Linked DNA regions of Macaca mulatta. The protein of the gene in region 4 interacts with the protein of the main gene of each other region in a pairwise test. Links are inferred from orthologs where the notes say so. Each region holds a gene or a part of one and is shown on either strand. Other genes may lie near its edges.

What was found.
Region 1: the proteins of EXOC1 (region 4) and RESF1 interact in a two-hybrid assay, tested with the Homo sapiens proteins (2 studies listed by BioGRID and IntAct). The link is inferred for Macaca mulatta from reciprocal best matches to the Homo sapiens genes EXOC1 and RESF1.
Region 2: the proteins of EXOC1 (region 4) and SFR1 interact in a two-hybrid assay, tested with the Homo sapiens proteins (2 studies listed by BioGRID and IntAct). The link is inferred for Macaca mulatta from reciprocal best matches to the Homo sapiens genes EXOC1 and SFR1.
Region 3: the proteins of EXOC1 (region 4) and SPTAN1 interact in a two-hybrid assay, tested with the Homo sapiens proteins (2 studies listed by BioGRID and IntAct). The link is inferred for Macaca mulatta from reciprocal best matches to the Homo sapiens genes EXOC1 and SPTAN1.

Annotation. Positions count from the first base shown.
Region 1 is NC_133416.1:34,169,268-34,175,613, reverse strand, and holds the start of RESF1 (retroelement silencing factor 1), read right to left. Parts: upstream 3,966-6,346; 5' UTR 3,928-3,965; coding exon of another isoform or gene 3,562-3,927; 5' UTR 3,478-3,561; intron 2,609-3,477; 5' UTR 2,514-2,608; intron 1-2,513. Other genes in the region: uncharacterized protein LOC144332817, read left to right, coding at 3,562-3,927. UniProt on the Homo sapiens protein: Plays a role in the regulation of imprinted gene expression, regulates repressive epigenetic modifications associated with SETDB1.
Region 2 is NC_133414.1:116,279,602-116,286,063, reverse strand, and holds the start of SFR1 (swi5-dependent recombination DNA repair protein 1 homolog), read right to left. Parts: upstream 3,966-6,462; 5' UTR 3,906-3,965; coding exon 3,893-3,905; exon of another isoform or gene 3,808-3,892; intron 3,142-3,807; coding exon 3,020-3,141; intron 2,413-3,019; coding exon 2,002-2,412; intron 582-2,001; coding exon 390-581; 3' UTR 1-389. UniProt on the Homo sapiens protein: Component of the SWI5-SFR1 complex, a complex required for double-strand break repair via homologous recombination. Acts as a transcriptional modulator for ESR1.
Region 3 is NC_133420.1:19,115,093-19,121,141, reverse strand, and holds the start of SPTAN1 (spectrin alpha chain, non-erythrocytic 1), read left to right. Parts: upstream 1-2,492; 5' UTR 2,493-2,614; intron 2,615-4,020; coding exon of another isoform or gene 4,021-4,086; intron 4,087-4,668; 5' UTR 4,669-4,686; coding exon 4,687-4,719; intron 4,720-6,049. Other genes in the region: uncharacterized protein LOC114672723, read right to left, coding at 1,666-2,492, 4,021-4,086. UniProt on the Homo sapiens protein: Fodrin, which seems to be involved in secretion, interacts with calmodulin in a calcium-dependent manner and is thus candidate for the calcium-dependent movement of the cytoskeleton at the membrane.
Region 4 is NC_133410.1:77,568,764-77,574,575, forward strand, and holds part of EXOC1 (exocyst complex component 1), read right to left. Parts: intron 5,137-5,812; coding exon 4,937-5,136; intron 2,472-4,936; coding exon 2,277-2,471; intron 511-2,276; coding exon 358-510; 3' UTR 1-357.

The DNA of each region.
Region 1 (6,346 bases), on a different chromosome or scaffold from region 4:
TTTTTTTTTTTGAGACACAGTCTCGCTCTGTCGCCCAGGCTGGAGTGCAGTGGTGTGATCTCAGCTCACTGCAACCTCTCCCTCCTGGGTTCAAGTGATTCTCCTGTCTCAGCCTCCTGAGTAGCTGGGACTACAGGCACATGCCACCATACCCAGCTAATTTTGGGATTTCACCTTGTTAGCCAGGGGTGGTCTCAATTTCCTGACGTCATGATCCACCTGCCTTGGCCTCCCAAAGTGCTGGGATTACAGGCATGAGCCACTACGACTGGCCCATGAACTTTATTTTCTGAGACAGAGTCTCACTCTGTCACCCGAGCTAGGGTATAGTGGTGCGATCTTGGCTTACTGCAACCTCTGCCTCCCGGGTAGCTGGGATTACAGGCATGTGCCATCACACCAAGCTAATTTTTTGTACTTTTAGTAGAGACGGGGTTTCACCATGTTGGCCAGGCTGGTCTCCAACTCCTGACCTCAGGTGATCTGCCCACCTTGGCTTCCCAAAGTGCTGGGATTACGGGTGTGAGCCACCACGCCCGGCCCTGCTCCATGAACTTTAAAAGTATGTCATCTAATGAATTCTCCTCTGGGGCTTGGAAAATAATAATCTCCTTATGGTTTCTGTTTCTTGAAACTTAACTGGACGATACAACTTCTTTTAATACACTTTGTCATTTTAATCACAAGACTTTATTTACAAATGAAACCTTGTAATTTGACACATCAAAAGAATCTAAGTTACTGTCATTAAATTTTTGCGATCATGAAAACCAGGAGCATAAAATGTATAGTTCCAATCTCACTTGAGATATTTACCTCAACAGCCTCCAACTTTGCTCTTCACGTACAAGTACACTTAAGGTATTAGGAATAGTATAAGTGTTGCATAGTTGCCACCCAACAAAGCATTTAGAATTCCTCAAGGTCCAAGATTCTTTCTTCATAACCTCCTTCCAAAGTGAATGTTAACTTGCATATCTATAGCCAGGGTTAGTCGACTATTCTCCTGGACTTATCTCAAAATGAATACACTCCCTGTCTGTTTTACATAATAGAGTGTGCCTCTAATGGGGAAGGGAGGGAGGCCTGATTAGATTCTTGAAATTCACCTTCATAAATACCTTTTTTTTTTTTTTTTTTTTTTTAAAGACAAGAGTCTTGCTCTGTTGCCCAGGCCCACAGTGCAATGGGGTGACCTCAGGTCACTGCAACCTCTGCCTCCCAGGTTCAGCCACTCGAGTAGCTAGGATTACAGGCATGTGCCACCACGCCTGACTCATTTTTGTATTATTAGTAGAGACAGGGTTTCGCCATGTTGGCCAACTTGAGTCCAGGGCTGGTCTCGAACTCCTGGCCTCAAGTGATCTGTCCGCTCCAGCCTCTTAAAGTGCTGGCATTGTAGACATGAGCCACCACACCTGGCCTACAAGTAAGTTTTAAGCAACATTAAATCAATTCCCTAAGCATTTGAGCTCCAACTATCTCCAAGACACTGATAATCTAGGAGGGAAGAGAGATTCCTGTACAATCACAGAGATAATGTAGAAGAACAAAGCTTTGGGGCAAGTTTGTCCTGCCTAGGAATTCAGTGGAGGCATTTTTTATTTCAAACAACACTGCAGGTAAATCCAGATGTGGACCAGTAGTGACGGATACTTTCTAACAAAACAGGACCTACAAAAAAGAGAATCTAAGAGGATCTACAGTGATGGGTTTAATCAACAAAAAGCTCATGAAGTTAGAGCTTAAATGAACCAGCTGAATTTCTGCTAAGACAGCATTACATGTCCCAGGCCACAAAATCTATTTCCTCTAACATGACAATAGCTAACATTTATTGGGCACTCACCATGTTTCAAGAGCTGTTTAACTGTGATATGCATGAAACTCCTGTAACTCTACCATAACAATCCTATGACATTAGTACTTTTCCCCATTTTATAGATGAGAAAACAGGCAGAGGTTTATTTTTCCAGGGTTGTACAGATACTGCTGAGTGCTACAGCTAAGATTTAAACCAAAGCAGTGTGGTTACAGGGACCATGATCTTTATCATTAGGTGAGACTTCCTAAGACATTTTGTGGTTACAGATGAAAGCCCTGGACATGCCCACTTTGGCTGTACAGGATGCATCCTTCAGAGTGGTGCTCTGTGCCACATTCCCCTATGTGCCACCAACAGTAATAAAATATAATAAAAACAATCACATAAGAAACACAGCACAGACAGAAGCAGACCTCTGCCCAGGTAACTTCCACTACAATTACCTTACCACAGACCTCTTTCTCATTTTGCTAAGATTAACAACTGATTTTTCAGTACTATGCCGACAACATTGCTTCTTCTCAAGCTTTGTTGTCAAATCCATTGAGTCCCACAGTTTAATTTTTAACCAATGTTGATTCACTGAGCTAGTAATTTTAATTCGGTAACAGGTAAATTACTCCATAGTTACATGTGAATAACTGCCTGGTTAAATCAGGGTGGGTTTCTTAGAGGTGATAATACTTACCGTTAAGCACAACTTTAGTCTTTAATTATTGTGTATGTTCCCATTTCACTCCAAACACATCAGTCCCCCTCCATACAGTATTTACTTCTTTGGTCCTAGGGACAACAAGAAACGTTTTATAATAAAAGAGGACATGCTAATGTGTTTACTAGATATGACACTGCTGTGCAAAACTGTTTTCTTTTAAGGCTGCACAGAAAACATGCTAACTTTACTGAATTCTTATTAAGTGTCCTAACTAACAGAAATAGAAACTAGGTCTGGCCTGAAAACACCATTCACTTAAGTCAGAATCTACGTGCGCTCCTCTAGGTCGGCTATTGTAGTATCATTGCAAAACAGTAACACTTTATCTCTGGACTTGTCTTTACTGGATTAATGTTAAATAGAAAAAAATCCGACTGCAGAGGGGAAAAAAACCTAAAACCTTAACATACATGCACATTAACAATGAATGAAACATGATTAAAGCTAACACATTAAGCAGAAAAATACAATCTCCAAACAAGCTCTGCGGCCCGCCTACTGAGATGCACCGGCCCCCCCACAAAACGAAAACGCGCCTCAAGCTCATACACATCCTTGTCTTAAGACGGTTATGCACTCGATGTACTACAAATTGTTTCCACGGAAATTATTCCCCGAAAGTTTGCTGCTAAACTCAGGACCCTAAGGACGTTTGCTTAGGGAATCCGTGTCCCTCGAGAACACCTAAGATGGGTATGCGTTTGTGCATTTAAAAATGCCTCAAGGAACTATTGCCGAGGAACAGAAAGCATCGCCGGCGCTTTGCGTTCGCGGACCACTTGGAGACAGATGCCAGTACAGCAATTCCGTTCCAGGAGGCTTCGACTTAAGAGGGCAGGGGAGGAGGAGAACGCTCGGGAAATAGGAAAACAAAGATTTTTTTTTTCCACTCCAGTGACAGCAAAGCCTTAAAAACATAAGCAGCTCTCATACCCACCCGCCTCACCAGCCGCGCCTCGCAGTTCAACAAAACGCGTCCTCGCCCTCGCCACTCGCGACCTCTATCGCGCAGCGCCAGGCAATGAGGGAAAACAGCCAGCGAGGCCCGCCCTCCGGTGCAAGGCTCGGCGTCCGCGGAGGCCCAGGGCCGTCCCCAGTACGGCGGGCAGAAGAGAGCGCGGCGGCGGAGCCCAGCTTCGGGCGGCGGACTGCGGGACGCGCGAGCCGGCGGGGCCCGAGGCCCGGGTTCCGGGGCCGCCCGCGACTGCGTTCTCGCCGCAGAACAAAAGCGCTCCGCGCCGCGCGCCGCGCGCCGGCCCCGGCCGTGAGCGCCTCTGGCTCCCGGCCCCCGCCCCGCCCGCACCCCGGAAGGCGAAGGAGGGACCTCGGGGTGCTCGCCTCACACTTACCGACAAGGGAAAAGGACCACCCCAGCAAGCAGGGGTAAAGCCGGCGGCCTCCCGGGCCCCAGAGTTTAAGTCAAGTGGGGTCCGCCTCCAGGGGCGGGTCGAGGAGCCAGGCCCAGGATCCAGGAACAGCTAGGCTCCGCCTCACGCCCGAGGCGGTGTCTACGAGGGCCGCGCCGCCGCGGTCCTAGTGCCACCCGAGAAGCCGCGGAACTGGCCAGCGGATCGCACCAGGGCTTGCAGAGCGCTTTCATCTGCCCGACGCGGAAATCTCCCGCAGCGATCTTCTACCTTTAACCAGCATCCGCAGCACCCAGAGGGCATGTTAAAGAGAGATTGAGAACCGCCAGCAAAACTACTGATTCAGTAGGTTTGGGGTGGGGGCTGAAAATGTGCATTTCTAACAAGTTCCTGAGACCCACTGTTGTTGCTGGCCTCAGGACCAATTTTTTCTATAAAGCGCATGGGAGTCAGAGTGCACCCAAGAGACTGTTAACCCTTAAAAAAAAGAAAATCAACAGCTTAGAGGCAAATAAGTGTGAAAGACAGTGGATAATCTATTTGGGGCTTCTGAAAGTCCCTGAGGAAAGTTGACTTTGGAGACCAGATCATGAAGCACGACCTCTTAATTGCCAACCTTTTGTTATAGATTAACTCCCTTATTTTCTTGTTCCCAGCTCAGACCAGATGGCATCTGAGATAAAATACGCCTTGAATAAGATAAATGACCCCTTGACTATTACATCCTTAATGTGGAATGTTAAATAGACCCTTCCCAAAAAGAAACACTGCCTAGAACCAATTAAATTGCTATACGTTAACCTTCTATGGAAAATGTTGACATCCTGTTAAGCTTCCCAGACCCTGCCTGTATAAACGACCCTCAGACTTCTCGCTTTCGAAGCACTGACCCCCATCTTTTGGAGTCTGTGGCCTATCAGGTCGCCATCCTCAAAATTTGCACTCAAACCAATATTTAATCATATTGCTCGAATCTCATTATTAAGGTTTACATAAGCGTTTACTTAGTAATGAAGGTTGCAACCAGGATAGCAAATCAGAGATTGTGCCACTGGAGAGGAGCAAGGGAGCTTATGTTTATAGGAATTTATTTGTTACATAAATTGTCAGATTATTTCATTGGTGGATTAAACGAAGAAGTCTTTAATCATTAGTAGAAGGGTGCATTTGCGTCTGTCAGAAACAAAACAAAAAAAACTATATACAGAATATTTTGTGTGTGTGTGTGTGTGTGTGACAGAGTCTCGCTCTGTCGCTCAGGCTGGAGTGCAGTGGCACAGTCTCGGCTCACTGCAAGCTCCGCCTCCCGGGTTGACGCCATTCTCCTGCCTCAGCCTCCCCAGTAGCTGGGACTACAGTAGCCCACCACCACGGCCAGCTAAATTTTTGTATTTTAGTAGAGACGGGGTTTCACCGTGTTAGCCAGGATGGTCTCATCCCTGACCTGGTGATCAGCCCGCCTCAGCCTTCCAAAGTGCTGGGATTACAGGCGTGAGCCACCGTGCCTGGCCAGAATATTCTTTTTTTTTTTTTTGAGAGGGAGTTTCGCTCTGTCACCCAGGCTGGAGTGCAGTGGCCGGATCTCAGCTCACTGCAAGCTCCGCCTCCCGGGTTTATGCCATTCTCCTGCCTCAGCCTCCCCAGTAGCTGGGACAGGTGCCCGCCACCTCGCCCGGCTAGTTTTTTGGTATTTTTTTTAGTAGAGACGGGGTTTCACCGTATTAGCCAGGATAGTCTCGATCTCCTGACCTCGTGATCCGCCCGTCTCGGCCTCCCAAAGTGCTGGGATTACAGGCTTGAGCCACCGCGCCCGGCCCAGAATATTCTTAAAGATTGGGGGTGGCCAGGCGCCGTGGCTCAGGCCTGTAATCCCAGCACTTTGTATCCCGTGCCTCCGTGTGAAGAGACCACCAAACAGGCTTTGTGTGAGCAACAAAGCTGTTTATTTCACCTGGATGCAGGTGGGCGGAGTTAGAAAACAGTCAGCAAAGGGTGGTGGGATTATCTTTAGTTCTTATACCTTTTGAGATAGGCGGTGAAGTTGGGAGCAATGCTTTGCAGGCAGCGGGTGGATCTCACAAAGTACATTCTCAAGGATGGGGAGAATTACAAAGAACCTTCTTAAGGGTGGGGAAGATTACAAAGTACTTTGATCAGTTAGGGTGGGGCAGAAACAAATCACAATGGTGGAATGTCATCAGTTAAGGCTATTTTCACTTCTTTTGTGGATCTTCAGTTGCTTCAGGCCATCTGGATGTATACTGCAGGTCACAGGGGATATGATGGCTTAGCTAGGTCTCAGAGGCCTGACAATTTGGGAGGCTGAAGCGGGTGAATCACTTGAAACCAGGAGTTTGAGACCAACCTGGCCAACATAGTGAAACCCTGTCTCTACTAAAAATACAAAAATTAGCCAGATGTAGTGGTGGGCGCCTGTAA
Region 2 (6,462 bases), on a different chromosome or scaffold from region 4:
AATTTATATATTAGAGTGCCCTTAATTGATGTTCATCGGGATACATTCCTCTGAGCCCTAATGGTTTTGGGAAGCCTAGGCGGGTGGATCACCTGAGGCCAGAGTTCGAGACCAGCCTGGCCAACATGGTGAAACCCAGTCTCTACTAAAAATGCAAAAATTAGCCCGGCGTGGTAGCAGGTGCCTGTAATCTCAGCTACTCTGGAGGCTGAGGCAGGAGAACTGCTAGAACCTGGGACGTGGAGGTTGCAGTGAGTTGAGATCACGCCATCGCACTCCAGCCTGGGTGACAAGAGCGAGACTCAGTCTCCAAAAAAAAAAAAAAAGTGTCTAAATATCTTTTAATTAAGTTGTCATTCTCAAAGATATTCTGGAGCAAAAATCAGGAATTAAACATCTATAAATTCTTCTTCACTTCTGTTATAGTGCAGCAATTTATCATCTAACCCATAGTGGTCTATCAATTGAGTAAGGCTCAGTTTCTTGTTCTCTTCAGACACAGCTGACTGCAACTCATAAAGCAACAGCTGGCTACAACTTCTCCACTTCTTTATTAACAACTGTAACTGAGACAGATCATTCTGAAACAGAAAAAAAAAAAAACCATGTATGTATGTCAATAACTAGTCATGCTAGTTCAACTTAATTAAAGTTGTTAAATTAGTGGATGTGCAGGTTTAAAGGCTAACATACACTGGGATGAATGGGACTTCTATCTAGGAAAAAGTAGGATGGTCATATGTAGAATGGTTACAATGTCATTCAACTTGAGTTCAATGGCTATTTTGTTGGCTCACGCTCTGGACCATCCTTATGATAAGGGAAAAATCAAATCATTAAATTGGGCCAAAACTATGTCAAGAAGCAGTAATACAGGGAAAAATCTACTCTATTACAACTGTACCTTTTTAAAAATGACACTATACTGTACTTTGCACTAAATTTTGCTATGAACCTAAAACTGCTCTTTAAAATTACAAAATTCTAGTTAAAAATATTTTTTTAGGCTAGGCATGGTGGCTCACACCTGTGATCCCAGTACTTTGGAAGGCCAAGGTGGGAAGACTGCTTGAGCCTAGGAGTTCAAGACTAGACTGTGCAAAATAACAAGACTATCTCTACAAAAAAATAATTTAAAAAAATTAGCCAGGTGTGATGGCACATGCCTGTAGTCCCAGTTACTAGGGAGGCTGAGGTGGGAGGATCACTTGAGCCCAGGAGTTCAAGGCTGCAATAAGTTAGGACTGTACCACTGTACTCCAGGCTGGGTAACAGAGACCATGTCTCTAAAAAGAGAATGAATAAATAAAATACACTTTTTACTCCTAAATTTTAAAATACATTCAATACTCCTAAATTTTATTTTTAAAAAACCCTAAAATTTCACGAGAACAAATGAGATATGCTATCTCATCATTTATTCCACATAGTTGGGGGAAAATGAGCTATTGCATATATATGAATTTTCCAGGTAATAAAGGTTATCTCCTTCCATGTACTCAAGTTCTATTTAATTCAACCTATATGAGTTGAAATCTAAAATCTAATATATATTTGTTTTTTTCTCAAATAATATGGCTGAATCACATTAATTATTTGGGGGAGACACAAGATCATAAATAAAATACCTTTTATTGTACTCTACAGCCCATTTTTAGTTTTACTAATTGACTGTCAGCTTTCACTTCTGTTCCCGTCGTACTTGCATCTAACATTTAATACTTCTAATATTGCTGTGGGCTAGAAACTAGAAAGAAAAGTTTAACTGCATATTAAATAAGAGCTGAGATTCTTAAAAAGTTTTACCTGGTGTTTAAGGGCCTTTTCTACTCTAAATCTGGAGTTGAATTAAAGTTGTTGGAAGCCAGGTTTCTGAATATTTGGCTTATTGCTTATTATGATAAAAAAACAAACACACACCTTATTTTCTATTTTTGAAATTACTTTCCTGCAATTTATGTAAAAATAAAAATGATACAATGGTCCCGAAATTCTTCTCACCTTTGATCTATACATTTTGACTAGTTTTAGCCTCCGAAGAAGGTCTTCTTTCTCCTGAACCTGCTTCACCAATTTGGCTTTTTCATCGTTTAATCTTTGTTTAGGAAGATTCTCATTCATGAACTCATTTTGGAGAGCACTGCATGATCCAGAATGAAGTGACTGAGATTCACAGACACTGAGATTCTTCAAAGTATTTTTCAAATTTGTATTTTCTTCAAATTCACTATCTATGTGTTTAAAACTTTCTTGAAATTCCAAACAGTTTTCCTCTGTGGAAGATGCTGGTTTGTCTGAAAAGGTCTGATCATTTTCTTCACTCTCTACTTTAAGACGTTTCACCACATTGTAACAGGAATTAAATGAAGATCTTGTTTTCCTTAATCTTTCTCTAAGTGTTGCACTCATAGGCTATAAAGAGCATAAAACATTAAAAATGTGAATCAAGAAAAACATTCTTGATGTCAATAAATCACCAGAAATAAAGGCCTTACATTTCTGTGCTAGACACCACTAGATGGCTTTCTGTCTCCACATCTAAAGAAGGCATCACAAAATGTCTTTAATTTCTGGAAGCTCCATTTGTTCTATTTCCTTTTTACTTCAGCAAGATCAACACCTTTCTAAAAGTGTTGAAAGGTTTATCCCAGTAATCAAGGAACATTTGTTCAGTAACAAGCACATGCCTGACGGTACTCCAGGTGCTTCAGAATTACAGAGTAAGGAAAAGACCTAGACCCTGCCACTAAAGACCTTCACAATATTGCACAGATTCTAACTTTCTCCATTAATCTGAAACTAACTGAAATGAATTGATTCAAGAGGAAAATATGGAAAGGGGCTGGTGGGTGTCATATATGTGACCTTAGAAGAAAAACATAAAATTGTTTAATAAAATGTCTACTTATTTATGCTACACATTATGTTAATTAACAACCTTCAGTAGAATTTAAACCACCACTGCCACAATACTTAGAAACACACAATGGATCCACTGGAAGGACAAAGATTTTCATACTTGTTTTCGTGAACTATTTGTATAGGGAGATGATGGATTCGCAGAGGCCTGAGGAGTGCTAGGTAAAACCACAGCTGAGTCTGACGAACTTTCCATCTTGAAAGTGAAATCTTGGTTTTTCTCTAAAAAAGAAAAATTATTAAATGAGAATCAAATTAGCCACACCTCTCCATAGTCGATTTTTATCAAAGAATATATTTTATTGGTGTACAAAGCATCCACAAGTAAGCCAGATATTTCTTCTAATTTCACTTTGTAATTCATTATTGCTCTTTTTGCAGTTTTCCATTTACCTTCCCACAAAGGGACCACTAAGATTTTCATGACACATCAACCAGCTAGTATCTCATAGTCACAACTCTCCTTGTTTTCTTTTCATCCACCAAAATATATTCAAATTCTGCCTTGGAAGAAGGGAATAACAGCTTTAATCAGGAATTCTTTATGATGACAGCTTCATAATTCAAGAAGATATAGCCGAAACTTTGACTCAAAAACAATAGGACCTGAATGTCACCCATCCTGAACTCTACAAGCTGTGACTAGAACCCGTTACCCTGCCGGCCCGAGGCATAAGAAACACAGCGGAGATGCATTTACGCCCTTTTAGTTTAAGCAGCGAATAGGCACTGAAAAGGAGAGTGGACTGAAATTGCTTTCTCCGACAAAGGCATCAACTTTTGAGAGGCAAACCAGGGGCGGGAGTAGTCCCCTCCTTCCCCCCATTGCAGAAAGCCCACTAGATCCCCGAAGACCCCATGGATGAGGTGAGGTTGAGTTCCCCAGACCCGGAAAAGGAGCTCAACTCGACTCCACAGCACACTCCCGGGGAAGCCCAGGTCTCAGGTAACCCCCTTCCCCTCAGCTGAGTACCTCCCTCCGCCATTCCCAGCGAGAGCAAAAAGCGCGCGCAGCTGCGGCCGTAAATCGATCCTGTGGCAGGGGCGGGGCCGTGCGGCTGGCGTAGAAGACGCGCAATTGGCCAGACTGACTAACGCGCGAGACGCCGCTTCACTCAGCGACTCAGAGCGGCGGGACTGCGCGCGCGCCTCCGCCAGCCGGCGGTTGGGGCGGGGCTTGGCCACACGATAGGCGGCCTAAACGCGTGATTGGCAGAATTAACCGGTGCGCGCGGCTCTCCCTGCCCAGCGCCCGAGGGCAGCGGGAGTGCGCGCGCGCGGCTGTGATCCGCAGCAGGTCTTCGGGGCGGGGGAAGCTGAGCTTTGGAACGACCAACCGATCCTGAGGGGGGCGCGCTTCCGTTGGCGGCTTCTCTTGTCTTATTTTCAACCGCCTTCCCTTCAGGCTTCCTTGTTTTTGTGCGTCTGTGAAGTGCGCCTGAAAGTGCCTCCCCCTGCCTCCGCCAGCCCGCCGCCTCCATTCTCTGGCTCCAGTCAGTCTCCTCTCCCCGCTCGTCACAGAAAAGGCTTTCCTCAGATGTGGCGCGGCCAGAAGCCGCACGGCTGGCTGCATGTTAGATTTACAGCTTGTGGACTCCCCAGAGGCAGAGACCACAAGAACAGCGTTGGGTTCCAGCCTGTTGAGAATGAAACATGTTAGAAATCTATCCGAGAGTCCTGGCACTTTAGCTGAGCTCATCGCTAGCTTTTTTGGCTGCCGCAAACTCGGCGGTCCCGTCGCTAGGTTTTTTTTTTTTTTTTTTTTGTAAACAACCGTTTCTGTACCTCAGTATTCAGGCTTCTTAGCGTGACCTCAAATCTTTTACTCAAATCTGAGGGAAAATGTAGCCCAAGGAAGTTTGTTGTGGCGCAACACAGGAAACAGAACAATCATTACATGAGATTGTGTCGGTGCAAAATTCAGATGTTTGAGACCGATAGGGCCTTTGCCGGCCACCGGGCAGCAGCATCCCCAGTCGAGAAAATCCACCCCCCCGACCCCCCGCCACGCTTCCAGTGTGGCGAGGTTCTGTTGCTACGCGACGACAAAGTTAGCTACACTGGGTGGAGCACTGGGTTTAGGGAAAGAGTTGTGTAACTTCTGAGTCGCGTGGAAGTTGGGAATTTCCAGGGGCTAGTGTTTTCAGTCCTCTTATTGAATGGCCGTTTTAAACATTGATATCGTCTCTTTACTATTAATAACATCTGACAGTAATGGCTTAGAAGTGGCCAGAAGGGAGTTACCTGAGCCTTAAGCAGTCAGGTATAATAATTACAGAACCTGAGGACTACTTAAGGGAATGATTAGGGGCACAGACGTTAGAGTCAAATTGTCTAGGTTCAAATCCTGGCACCCTACTTTATGTTGTGCCTCAGTTTCTTCATCTCTTAATATGGGATTGGAGAATTAAATGAGAACTGGTAAGAGGCAGCTAGAACAGAGCTAGGTATCTAGGAAGCAGTAGTTATTTTATATATTCAAGTGTATTCACCATTCCCTAACTGATTTAAAGGAATGTATCACCTTCACTTACCTTTCACCCCTTGATTTAGCTCCCATTCCCCGAAAAAGCACATATATTTTTAAAAGATGCTGTTATCTGTAAGATCCCACACAATGTAAACTATAAATGGCAGAAAATGCAGAGCTTCACATATGATTAGTAATACATATTTCACTCCTAAAAATTTTTTAAATTACATAAGTTAACCCCAAGGAATTTACAAAGTGGAAGACAGAACTCATGATTTTGTGATAAAGGTGTTACTCATCTCACCAAGCTGCAGGTCTCAGTCTGTACATTTATTTCTCCCTTTACTCATTCATTGGCATCAGTTAATCTCAAAGAAAAAGCATAATGATTTGTCCTGACAGTAGAAGCACAATGCAGACTCTGCATATTCTTTATACCTCCTGGCATAAGGGGGAGATGTTTTTATGACTGGCTAAAATCAGCTGCTCCCAAATCCTTTTACCTTTACAACCTAAGCTTAGAGCTGTGTTTTTCCTGGCTGCAGAAAGGAAAACAACATCTTGCCTTGCAAATGTTCTGACTTGCTTATTATGTGAACTGGTATCTTAAAATGGAATTATCTGGCCAGATTTTCAAAGAACTTCAGAACAAATACTCAGAAAAACCTGTATTTCAGAAATGTGCATTTGTTGACCTACCTCTCTGGCTTTCATGCATTGTTAGAACTGAATTATCTCCCTATACATAAGTTTGTATTTTACTTAATCTTTTCACGTCACAAATTGGAAACCCAGTTTCCTCGGTTTCATGTCAGAGATCTGGAATATAGCCCCTATACTTTTAATTGTACCTTTAGATAATGCATATCATACATTTCAGTGTCTTTAGTGACTTGAAATCTATTAGCCTGTGAAGACTTTGGTGTTTCTGACACAGGACATTGTATGTTTCCTATGAAACTTTTCAGGAAGGAAAAAATACTGGCCCAGTGAGCCAGGAAGTAAAGACTCCTTACCCTACCACAGAGAACAATTTAAGCAATAGAATCCAGTAATAATAGTAATTAATA
Region 3 (6,049 bases), on a different chromosome or scaffold from region 4:
CTGGAGCAGAAGCTCTTGGAAATTTTAGGGAGCTACAATTGTGTAAGCCATTTTGTACCCAGAGCTGAATACCTGATTAAACATTTTACTGCAACCTGCTGGAGAAGAGGCCACGGATACCATCAGCTGTTCCCAGAAATGCAAACCCCAGGGAGGAGCTGCCCAGCCCAGCTTTCTCTACATAGAAGATTGCAGGAAATGCCTCTCAGCTCCTACGTTTTTCCTACACAGATTCTCTAAAGCAGCTTCTGGGGTGTGGCCACTCCTTTTCTCACCACTCCAATGGAGTGAGTGGGTAGGGAAATTTTTCCTCAGTATCATGGCTACAGCCAGGGCAGCTTAGAAACCGTATTGCAGGTCCCGCGCATGGGGAAAGAAGCCAAACTGCAGAGGACCAGGAAGCTCAGGGCCAGGTCTGGGCCCAGGTTCTGGTGCAGTGCCCAATGACTTTGTATTTATTTAAAGAGGAGAGCTGCTTAGTAACCAGGAGGCTGAAGCCTTCCTGAGCTGCAGAGCTTCCCTTCTGCCTGACTGCACAGGAATGATCTGGGTGTTACTCCCGATGGCTGCGGCCCAGCTGTCACCGGAATGGGGATAGGGAAAGCGCTTCCTAATCCAGGGCTTCTGGCTACAGAGTTGAGAGCCAGGCCCTCAAACTGCTAGGACTTTAAGGATCAGAAATTCTGAGAATCTTATTTTTCTCTGTCTGCACCCCAGCAGCCACCCGCATCAAAATGCCTCCCTTTCCTATTCATTAAGGTTCTTTCTGGCACAATTAATTGAACTTTCCTTGTGTACTAGGCACTATGCGAAGTATTTCGTGTTACCTTTTCATTTCTTAATCTTTGCAATAATTTGATGAGATATTTTCCTATTTTACAAATGGGCACTCTTACATAATGCTCATGTAGGCTATGTCTCTTGGCCCAGGTCAGGCAGCTAGCAATTGAAGGGCTAGGATTTCCATCTCAGCAGTCAGAACCTTCCATTTGCAACCTTAATGTCTTGTTTATGAAATAGGATGAATATGCCCTATTCTACTGGCGACCTGTGAGAATGCTTTTGCTGCAGGAATATAAGAAATTATTATTTTGCCGCTGCCGTTTCCCTCCCCCATAATATCCAAGAATGTAAGAAATTAACTCTCCAAATTCCAGAATAACAGCTTTATGCCGCAAATTAGTCGACTTAATTTTTTTTCTGATTCAGATTTGGCCTTTTCCTCTCACCGCCTCTTCAAACCCGGGGCCCCAAATCATCTGCGTCTTCTTGACCCCAGCCCCCACCGAAGTAGGGTGACTAGGGTCCCCAGCGCCAGCCTCCTCCTCGGGAAAGTGAGCAGGAAGAAGAGACGCACTCGGGTGATCTCACCCTTTGGGACTGGGCGTTTTTCCGCCCGGGGCGCGCAGCATCCCAGCCAGACTGCAGCGATACCCCCTGCCCCGCCCTTCTCCGCAGTCCTGGAAGAGCTCCCAGGGCGGAGGGGTGCAGTGCAGACGACTGTCCGCAGGGCGGGCGGTGGCGGGGCGCAAGTTGCGCGGAGGGAGGTGAGGCGGGAGCGTCTCTGTCGGCCAGGGCGTAGTCAGTGACCTCACTGCACCATCACCCCTCACCCCTTGCGCGCGCCCCATTTCCCCATCCTCCCGCGGCCCGCCCCTCGCTCACCTCTTCCCCCGCATCGCCGCTTCGGCTCCTTCCGGGATCGCTCGGCCCTTTCCGCCGGGCGGCCGGGCGGTGAGCCGGCGGGAGCACCGCCCCCTTTGCTCCGCCGGCGCGCTCCCCCGCCCCCCGCGCAGCGCCGGGGCGCTTCCCCTTGCGCTCGCGCCCGCCCGCCGCGGGAGCGCGCGTAGCTGCCTATAAAAAAGGCTGGGCGCGCGCGTCGCCGCCACTACCCGCTGCGGAGTGAACGGCGCGGAGCGGAGGCCGCGGAGGCTCCTCGGTCCTGCAGCACCCCCTCGGCCCGACGCACCCACGCCCCTCACCCCACGAGAGCCGGTGAGAGGGGCAGTCGGGGAGCTCCGGGAGGGAGCGGGGCCCCGGGCAGCCGACCCCCGGGCGGGAGCTGGGCAGCCCTTAAGGCGGGGCGGGGCCGGCGCGCGGACAGGTGAGTCGGGCGGGCCGCGGCGCTGCCTCCATTCGGCTGAGGTGCCGGGGGAGCCTCTGCCGCCTCTTTTGTGGCGCGTGGGCTGCGGAGGAGCAGCCGGGCGGACGTTCGGCGCCGCCGCTGGAATGTCACTGACTGGGGGGAGGGGGCGCGAGGCCGCCGGGTCCCTCCCCTCCACCCCCAAGCCTGGCTGCGGCGCGGCCCTGCCCTGCCCCATCCGGCTGCGGCAGGTGGGTGGGGGCTCCCTCGTCGGGATCTTCGCCAGCCGCCTCCCTGCAGAACGCTCCCCGCACCGCCCCCGGTCCCTTCCCTCGGCCGGGAGCGACTTCTGCAGCTCGTTCTTCCGAATGGCACCAGCAATGCCGGCCAGCCGTGGAGGGAGGAAGAGCTCGGGGAGCCCGAGCGTAGCGTAAACGGCTCTCTGACCTTAATTTCATCCTGCCTGGCGAATCTCTGCCGTCTCTTTGAACGCAGAAGGGTCTGAGACTGGCCGTCTCCTTTTCTTTCCTTGTAATAAACATTTTTCTTTCTTCCCAGTTGTGATTTGCTTGTAAATAATAGGTAGATGCGGTGCTTGTATGGTATGAGGGTCAAATCAAATAACTTAATAGCTTGGAGTTCGTGTGTGTGTGTGTGTGTGTGTGCGTGTGTGTTTCCTGGAACTGGGTCTTTCGAGTCGAGATACAGTGTCCAAAATTCTACCATACCAGTGTTGAATGATAGAACAGTCTTTTGTTTGAAAGCTATCCCTGAGAATTTGATTAGACGCTTCCCATAGAACATCGCTTTAAAAAGTCTCTTTCATGTACTGGAGTAAAATATATTTTAAACAAGCGCCTTGTTAAAGTTAAGAGTTGAATATGTTTTAAATGAAAAGCCTGAATAGCTCAGAAGGCTGGGTTGAGATGATGATTGAACTGTTACAACATCTAATCAGATCTCTTTTATATAATAGATCCTAAAATATTTAAGCCCTTTGTTCTGTCTTCATCATGGTATTTTAGAAAAACTTAACCATCATGGCTGTTCGGGAATAACAGAAGTATTTTCATAATGTGTTGAGAAATTGCGTCGTCATAGCAATTGGCCTTAAGTAAAACAGAATGTATCAAAGATGGAAGGGTGGGGGTGTCTTGGAGCCAGGAAACAGAAAATCTGGGGAATAGCAGCAGGAACACTCAGCTATATGAAGCCATTGAGCCAAGGTTCCGACTCCTTAACTAGTCATTTATTTTCCCTTTCATTGCAGCTAGCTAATGTCTTAGATTTTGAAAGGTCAAATTGAAGTCAAAGTTTAATATGTGCTACGGGGAGAAAGAAGTGCTGCAGTAAGGGCCTCTGTGCAGGAAATTAGCAATAAACCTTTTTCAGTAACTGGGCCAATAATTACTCAAAGGGAGCCTCAAAGTGTGTTAACTGGTATCCAGGGACCTAGATGGAGAAACTGGAAAGGAGGATTTGCTTCATCCTGGACAAGTGTGAAGCAGTTCTTATGGCAAACCATCAGCCTAGTAACTGATTCTCTGATACGCTTTGGTCTTGGCAGTGTATTTTGTAGCCATCTAATAATTGGAGAAATTGGATATGTCATAGGCTACAGTGTAAGCCTGTCAAGCAATCTGATGAAGAGGTGGACATGGGGAGAGCCGTTTTAAGTATGTCTTTTGGTTCCCTGGGTTAAAGTTTTTTCTGCTTTTTTCTTACCTGCCTTCATCCAAAGTGGGGGGTCAACTGCACATCCTGAAAAGTGGATCTCAGGAATAGTCCCCCATGTCCTGTCACTGCGGAATCTACACTAAGAATGGATAATGTGTTCAAGGCTGGCCTGCCTTTGTAATCAGTCCTCCGTGGGCTATGCAAGGATCCCGCTAGTTAGGCACTCAGGTCTGTTGCAGCATTATCAGCTGCGGCTGTACTGTAGAATGCAACGCCCTAGTGGCAAATGCTGACTCCAGGAATGCGGAGGAGGAGGAGGACCGCATAGTTCATCACTTGGGGCCACTTGACTGGAGCAGCTGTGCTGTGAACCATCACCTCTCTTCCACCTTTTTTGCATATTCCTCTTGTACCAATTTTGAACAGGAAATAGTATTTTGTGAAGTAAGTGTACTGGCAAGCTAGGCCCAAGTCAGATCTTTGTGGCTTGAGTTCTACTTTGTGATAATTTCATGCAGTCGTGCTCTTTTATTGCTGAATGGAAGGGGATTTAGGAATCATCTTGTCCTGGGATCCTCAGGAGGAGGGCGTGTTTAGTTTGAAAAAGTATATTCAGTATTATTACTTTGACAAGTGGGGAAATTGAGACCCAAAAGAGAGTGAGACTTGACCAGTGCAGCATATCCAGATAGTAACTGCCAAGACCTGGGAACCTTGGTTTTCTTTCCACATTTTAAATCCCTTGTGGGATTTAGACGCTATACAGAATGTCAGAGAGAAGACACTGAGAAAATATCTGAAGTTGGATTTTTAATCTGTATTCGTATGTTTTTAAATATCTGTTTTCTTCATAATTTTGTTCCATTTGCCCTTAGAAGCTTATCTTGCTCTTCCCCCTCCCTCTTTAGACTCCACATTCCTCCATCATGTTGTCATCGTTTCGTAAACGCAGAGTACAGGTATTTGACCAGCATGCAGAAAACGGGTTGCCTTTTTGGTTTTGCCTGGCTTGCAGTGAAGGCATATTTGTGTCAAAGAGGTTGAATGAACCAAAGAAAGGGGGAAAAAAACCCTGCCTGCATGATGTTTCTGTTAAACAAATTGTTTAGGATTTGTTTGGGGTTTTTTTGGTGTTAAATTATCAGAAGTATTAGTAAATTTACTTGAAAATTTTCAAAGCCTTCCCTTTTTTTTTTTTTTCTTTAACCTCTCTCTCTTTAAGGCATGAATATATTAATTTCTTATCACCATTATGGTGTTTGCATGTAGTGTTTGCTGACTTTTTATTGGTGGCTACTTGGTTTTTAAGAACCAAGGGGCAAAACAGATTATCCTAGATATTTGGAAAAAATAATCTGAAAAATACATAGTAAAAATTGTTTTTAAAATTTGACAAATACTGTAAACTTGGGCTTGTTTCCTGTTCCATTGACTTCTTCCACCACAATTTCTATAATAAAATAGAGCTTCCCTTTTCATGTTTAAAAAACAGCTGTCCGGCAGGGTGTGGTGGCTCATGCCTGTAATCCCAGTGCTTTGGGAGGCCAAGGCGGGCAGATGATGAGGTCAGGAGTTCGAGACCAGCCTGGCCAGCATAGTGAAACCCCGTCTCTACTAAAAATACAAATACATTAGCCGGGTGTGGTGGCGGGCCCCTGTAATCCCAGCTACTGGGGAAGCTGAGGCAGGAGAATCGCTTTAACCTTGGAGGTGGAGGTTGCAATCAGCCGAGATTGCACCATTGCACTCCAGCCCAGGGACAGTGCAAGACTCCGTCTCAAAAAAATAAGTAAATAAACAGCTCTCTTTATTTGTTTTATTTGTGTACAGTCTTTGTTTTCTAAATTGGACCTTTTAAAAAAAAATTCAGTATCTTGATATCTCAAAATAAGAAATATAAACCTTGGAAATTTCCAGTGATTATAGGTGATAAATCCAAGGCAGGCCTTTTTATAAATCAGATGAGTTATTTATTTAAATGAGGTTTATAAAAATGGGCCACATTGTAACCATTTCCTGTTTTGAGTCATAGTAACAATAAGGAACTTAAATACCTCTCATCTGAATTTTGCAGGTTGAAAGGTAAGTAGCAGCAAGATAGTATTTGGGAAGCGTTCAGAAGTAAGTTTTCTCAATATTGCTCTGCATTTCTGGATTTTGATGCAATGCAGTATGAATCTTTTGCTTTCTTAAAGCTAAGTCCCTGCTCACCTCTGCACAATTGCGCTAACAAGTTGAAATGAATTAATCAGTTTGAAAGCTGACATGCTGATCCACAATCCTGATTTG
Region 4 (5,812 bases):
CAGAGAAGCAGTGAAAGCTGAAGAACTCCAAATGCGCTGCACACAGGACAACCACTGAAACACAAGCAGCTAGGCAATAAAGGAAAATTTCCCATCCAGTCATTGAGAAATGCTAAAGGCATTTTAGGATGACATAAATGCTTAAGTCAGTATGCAACCTGTAGGGCAAATAAAACTGCTATATAGGTTGGTAATTTTACATTTAAACATTTGTAGTATGGTACTACCCATTTATCTAACATTTAATAATACATAAAATTTTAAGTCTGGGTTCTCAAAACAGTTGCTTGGTATTTTGGTATAGTGTCTGGTATACTCAAATGCTTCATTCATTTATCTTTTCTTCTTTCCCAAGGTTTAGTGGGACTGTGCAATGCTGGAACAATAATCCAGAATGTCCTGAATAGTGAATTCCATTGTAACACCGGATCCAGGATAACAGCGAGCTATCAAACCTTCAAAGTGCTTATACTGGCGTATAAATTCATCTTGCATGGAGTGCCACACAACCTATTATTAAAAAAAAATTCATTAGGCTATGAATGGAAATAATATGTAATCTAGTATGCGGAAATAATGCCAAGGCATATTCTAAGAATCTGGGTAGTATAGTAACTAAGAACATGCATTCTGGAACCAGAATCCTAGTTACTTTTACCAACAAGATTTGTGACCTTCAGTATATGACATCACTGCTCTACGCCTCAAGTTCCTCATCTATAAACCAAGATAATAATAAGACCTTCCTCATAATGCTGTGAGAATTAAATAAGAAATGTACATAAAGTGCTTAGAACTGTGTTTGACACAAGTAAGCACTCATGACATTTTAGCTATTATCTCATACACTCCAATATGCAACACAGATATGGATATGCACAATTATGTATAGAACTAAGACTAGTGATTATATAAAATATAATGCTTTAATTTCATTTCCTATAAAATTTAAAATTTTCTTTATCTAAAATTGTTGATGCAAAACATTGCTTGATGCCTTGGAGGACAGCAAAATGAGTCAGACCCATTATCTGCAATCATGTGATTTACAGTGTAACAGTGGAGACTAATATGTAGACAACTATCAAGACACAATGTGATACACATATTGACATAATGGCTTAATTGAAGCTCACTCTTTATCAGCACAGTACAAAGCACTTTATGAATATATTAGAGTACTAAGTCTCACGATGACCTGGTGAGGGTGGGTATTATGATCATCTTCCCTATTTGACAGCTGAGGGAATGTATTCTTCCAAGGTTTTTTCATGTAAACCCTAAATCTCATAAATCCTAAATTCCTGTCAACTTGAGACCAATCACTATTCCCTAAGCAGTATTATGCTTTTTATTTTTCGTCGTTTAGCTCATATTATTTCTTTCTAGAATGCTACTCCCTGTATCCCCATTTTGCCTGTTAAAATACATCTGACTTTCAGAGGTTAAAACAAACAATGCAATATCCCTTAGGAAGTCTTCCATGATGGTGAAATCAGAATTACTCTCACTCATATCTGGGCCTTTCAATATGGTTTACAAAGAATAATGGCCTAATTTGGTCTTTAAATTTAGCTCTACTACCCATTAGTTATGGGAGCTTGGTCCTATTACTCCAACTCTCTAAGCCTCTAAGCTCATTTTCTTTCTTGTTTTTTTTTTTTTTTTTTGAGACATGGCCTCACTCTGTTGCCTAGGCTGGAGTGCAGTGATATGATCATAGTTCACTGGAGCCTCAATCTCCTGGGCTCAAGTGATCCTCCTGCCTCAGCTTCCCAAGTAGTTGGGACTACAGGCACATGACACCATGCCCAGCTAATTGTTTTAATTTTTAGTAGAGACAAGGTCTTGCTATGTTGCCCAATACAGTGGCTACTATACAAGAGAGGTATCACTTCCACTTTTCGAAATAAGGGAACTAAGGCTCACAGAGGTTAAGTAACTTCCCAAAGTCACGCAGCTTAATCTGGAGCCAGATTATGAACCCATTTCTAATTCCAAGCACTCAACCAACCAACCAACCAACCAACCAACCAACCAAAGAAAAACAAACTTAATGCTTCACCATAATAAAGTAGAAATACGAAATAAGCAGAAATAGCCATATATTCTTATATAAGTAGTATTCCTTTCTTCCTCACAATTCATTAATCTGGTCTGTACTTTAATGGAACTCACGTCCTGCTCTAGATCTATAGCATTTCTAGAAAAATATTTAAAGAAAAGCAATATATATAAGGATCCTCAAGCCAGACGGTCAAAAGAACTCAGCATACCTGAAGTAAGTTCTCTTCTTCACATAAATGTTTATCAACCTTCTTGTAGAGGTTATCTAGACCTTTTTTTACTTCCTTTCCAGGGTACTCCTTAATGACTTTACGAAGTTCTTGCTTGTTAAATGCAAGTTGGTAACTTACTTCCTCCTCCCTTATGCCCTGTGCCACACGAGCTTCAACACCGTCAAAGAAATGCTTCAAGGAAATGAAAAGAAACAATGGCTAAGACCTGTTTTTATTATTACTTACATTTTAAAAAATCTGTTTACAAAGTAGTGTATAATCACCATGCAAAAATCAGTGTGTGAAAGTATAAACAATAAAATAACAATCACCTTATTCACATACTTCTGAGACGAGCATTGGTAACACTGTAGAGTTCCTTCTAATCTTTTGATGTGTGAATACATACATGAGATTATATTTCATACGTCACATTCTACATTTAATATTGTTTTTTGCTGAATATAAATTTTAATGGCTGCATAATATTTCATACTATGACTAAACCACAATTATTATTCATTCCTCTAGTACTAGATACTTATCCCACTCCCCCGTCTTTTTTTGGACTTGCCAGATCTAGTGGGACTTTAGAAAATTTACTATATTTGTCATAATTTTTTTTTGTATATAAGTATTTACCCACCTTACTGATTAAATTTCCAGAACTATAATTACTCTATTGAAGAGCGTAACTTTAAGTATTTGAAAGATTCTTCAGTATATATACAAACCCCTTGCCAGGAAAGCTCAATCAATTTATATTTCTGTCAACAGTGTATGAGGTTGCTACTTCACTATACTACCATAAGCATTATGACAATTTAAAACAATGGTTGTCAGAGTGAAGAAAGTTTGTCATTTTATTTTATAATTCTTTGCCTATAAATAAGGCTAACCTGCTTTCATATATTTAGTAGTGATTCAGGCCCCTTGCCCCATTTATAAATTGAGGTCTTAGTGCTTTTCTTATTGATTTTAATAAATCTTTTATATTAAATATACTGACTCTGTTATATTGTTATAAATATTATTCCCAGGTCTTCTTTTTTATATATATATATACTTTTATTGACTGGCATGCCTGTATTTGAGCACGATACAAAGAATTAATACTGACAAACCCCATTCCCTCTCATTACTTTTTTCTAAAATTTTCTTAGTGATTATTTATTCATTAAATTATCATTCTTTGACAAGTTATTCTTAGTGCTTTAAAACTTTTGTTGTTACATAAGCTCTTAATTGGTAGACAGGAAATACATTGTTTTTCAGTATATTTGCCTTGAATCCTGTCACTTAATCAACACCAGTAATTTCAACATATCATATACAGGCAGTGATAATCTTGTCTCTCTTCTCCATATCTCCTGTTTATGTTTCAGGTCTTGTTGAACTGGCTAGCACTTCAACAACAATGCTAAATAATAAATGATCTAACAATATTTCTGCTTTACATTGATTTCAGAGGGAATGTCTCTAACGTTGCAGTTAAGTATCATGTAAGCTTTAGGCCTGAGACAGATCTTTTATCCAATTAAAGGAATATTTGTCTGTTCTTAAGTTTTATAAGGAATTAGTTCTGCATTTGATTAAATGCCTTTCAAGTATTTCTCTGAATTGCTGATAGTAGATACATATTCTTTTTTTTTGAGACTGAGTCTTGCTCTGTAGCCCAGGCTGGAGTGCAGCGGCGTGATCTCGGCTTACTGTAATCACTGCCTCCCAGGTTCAAGTGATTCTCCTGCCTCAGCCTCCTGAGTAGCTGGGACTACAGGCGCACGCCACCACGCCCGGTTACTTTTTTAAAAATATTTTTAGTAGAGACGGAGTTTCACTGTGTTAGCCAGGATGGTCTCGATCTTCTGACCTCGTGATCTACCTGCCTTGGCCTCCCAAAGTGCTGGGATTGCAGGTATGAGTCACTGTGCTATTTTACTCTAACTTCAAGTTAAGAACTTATAAAAGATAACTAATTATATTGTAGACAAAGTTAGTTAAAAAGGTTCATTTAAGCTTTCACTATGTCGTAAAGTTCCCTAAAATCATCATTTCTTAACTTTAATTAACAGACTTGCTCTGGGAAATGACTCAAGTAAGGAAAGAAAAAGAAGGGAAAGAAAAGTAAAAGGCAATGTAGAAAGCAATTTTTGGTTTTTCTTTTATCTTGATAATATTTCTGAAATTTCCACCTAGACATTGCTAACTTGGTCATTTATAAAGTAAGAAATGGGAAAGAATAATGGCAAAGCCTAATCTAGGTTCATCCCCCAGCTTGTAATTTATAAGCTATTATAATGTTGGGCAAGTTTTTTTTACTTTCAGTTTCTTCATTTGTGAAATGGGGATAATATTATCTTAGCTTACACATCATTGTTTATAAGAATTAAAAGAAATAATGCATATGTAATAGAATAATATTAGCAAAATTATCATTAAAATATAATAGATAAATAATGTATAAAAATAATGTACAGAAAGAAGAAATAAAATATATAGCATCTAGCAGTGTCTGGCTCACTGGCAGCTTCAATAACTGACTCCCCTTTGCACCAACACATGAGAAAATTTAAGATAAATGTCTGCAGGTTATTCATATGCAAACTTATGTGTATAGGTTCAAAAGTAGGAAAAATACTGAATGAAAATATATTTACATTTAGTTTTTCAAGAGGTTGTCCTAAAGAGTAAATGACATAAGACTGAAGGTGATCTGTGTATTTTTGTTTGGCGTCTTTTTTTTCTGCTTCTAGACATGAGATTTTCAATCGAGAAAGAGTTGCAAAAATATGGTGAAAGTTTTCCATCATAACCACATCCCTGGGGGTCTTCTGGCTTTCATTTGCTACTTTCTCCACTAAAACCAAAACAGAAAAAATAAAATAACATCTCTGAGTATGACCGTATTTAGCCACAAACATTTATATGATTATTTTTTCATTTGTAAGTTTAAGAATTAAGCACATTTCTGGACTTAATAAAATATATTGTAATGGGAGTTTTCAGATCTACCTAATCATCATAAAAAGTTATCCTAAAACAGTCCCATGTGTACATGGAAATTCAGTATATAATAAAAGTAGCGTTTCAAATCAATGGAGAAATGATGAATTATTCAAAGTGTGTTAGGACAACCAGCTGGACCATTTTAATATATGAAATTTAGGTCCCTATTTTACATCTTGCAGCCAAATTCTGAATTGCTAAATTATTTAAAATGTAAAAAGCAAACAAATAAATTAATATAATCATAAGTACTAAAGAAAATATAGCTAATTGAAAAATAATAATTTTGTGATGGGGTGACCTTGCTGAGAATGGCCCAAAATTCAGAAGACTATTAAGGGGAAAGATGAATAAATTGGACATAAAATTTGAAAATTCATGTAAACACACCATACACAAAATCAATGAAATGCAAAATAAAATAGTGAGATAATTTATAGCCTATCAGGTTGACACAGAATAAAAAGATTGGTAATACCTAGTAATATCCAGCATTTGTACAGTTGTAATGCAACTGCTCATAGCAC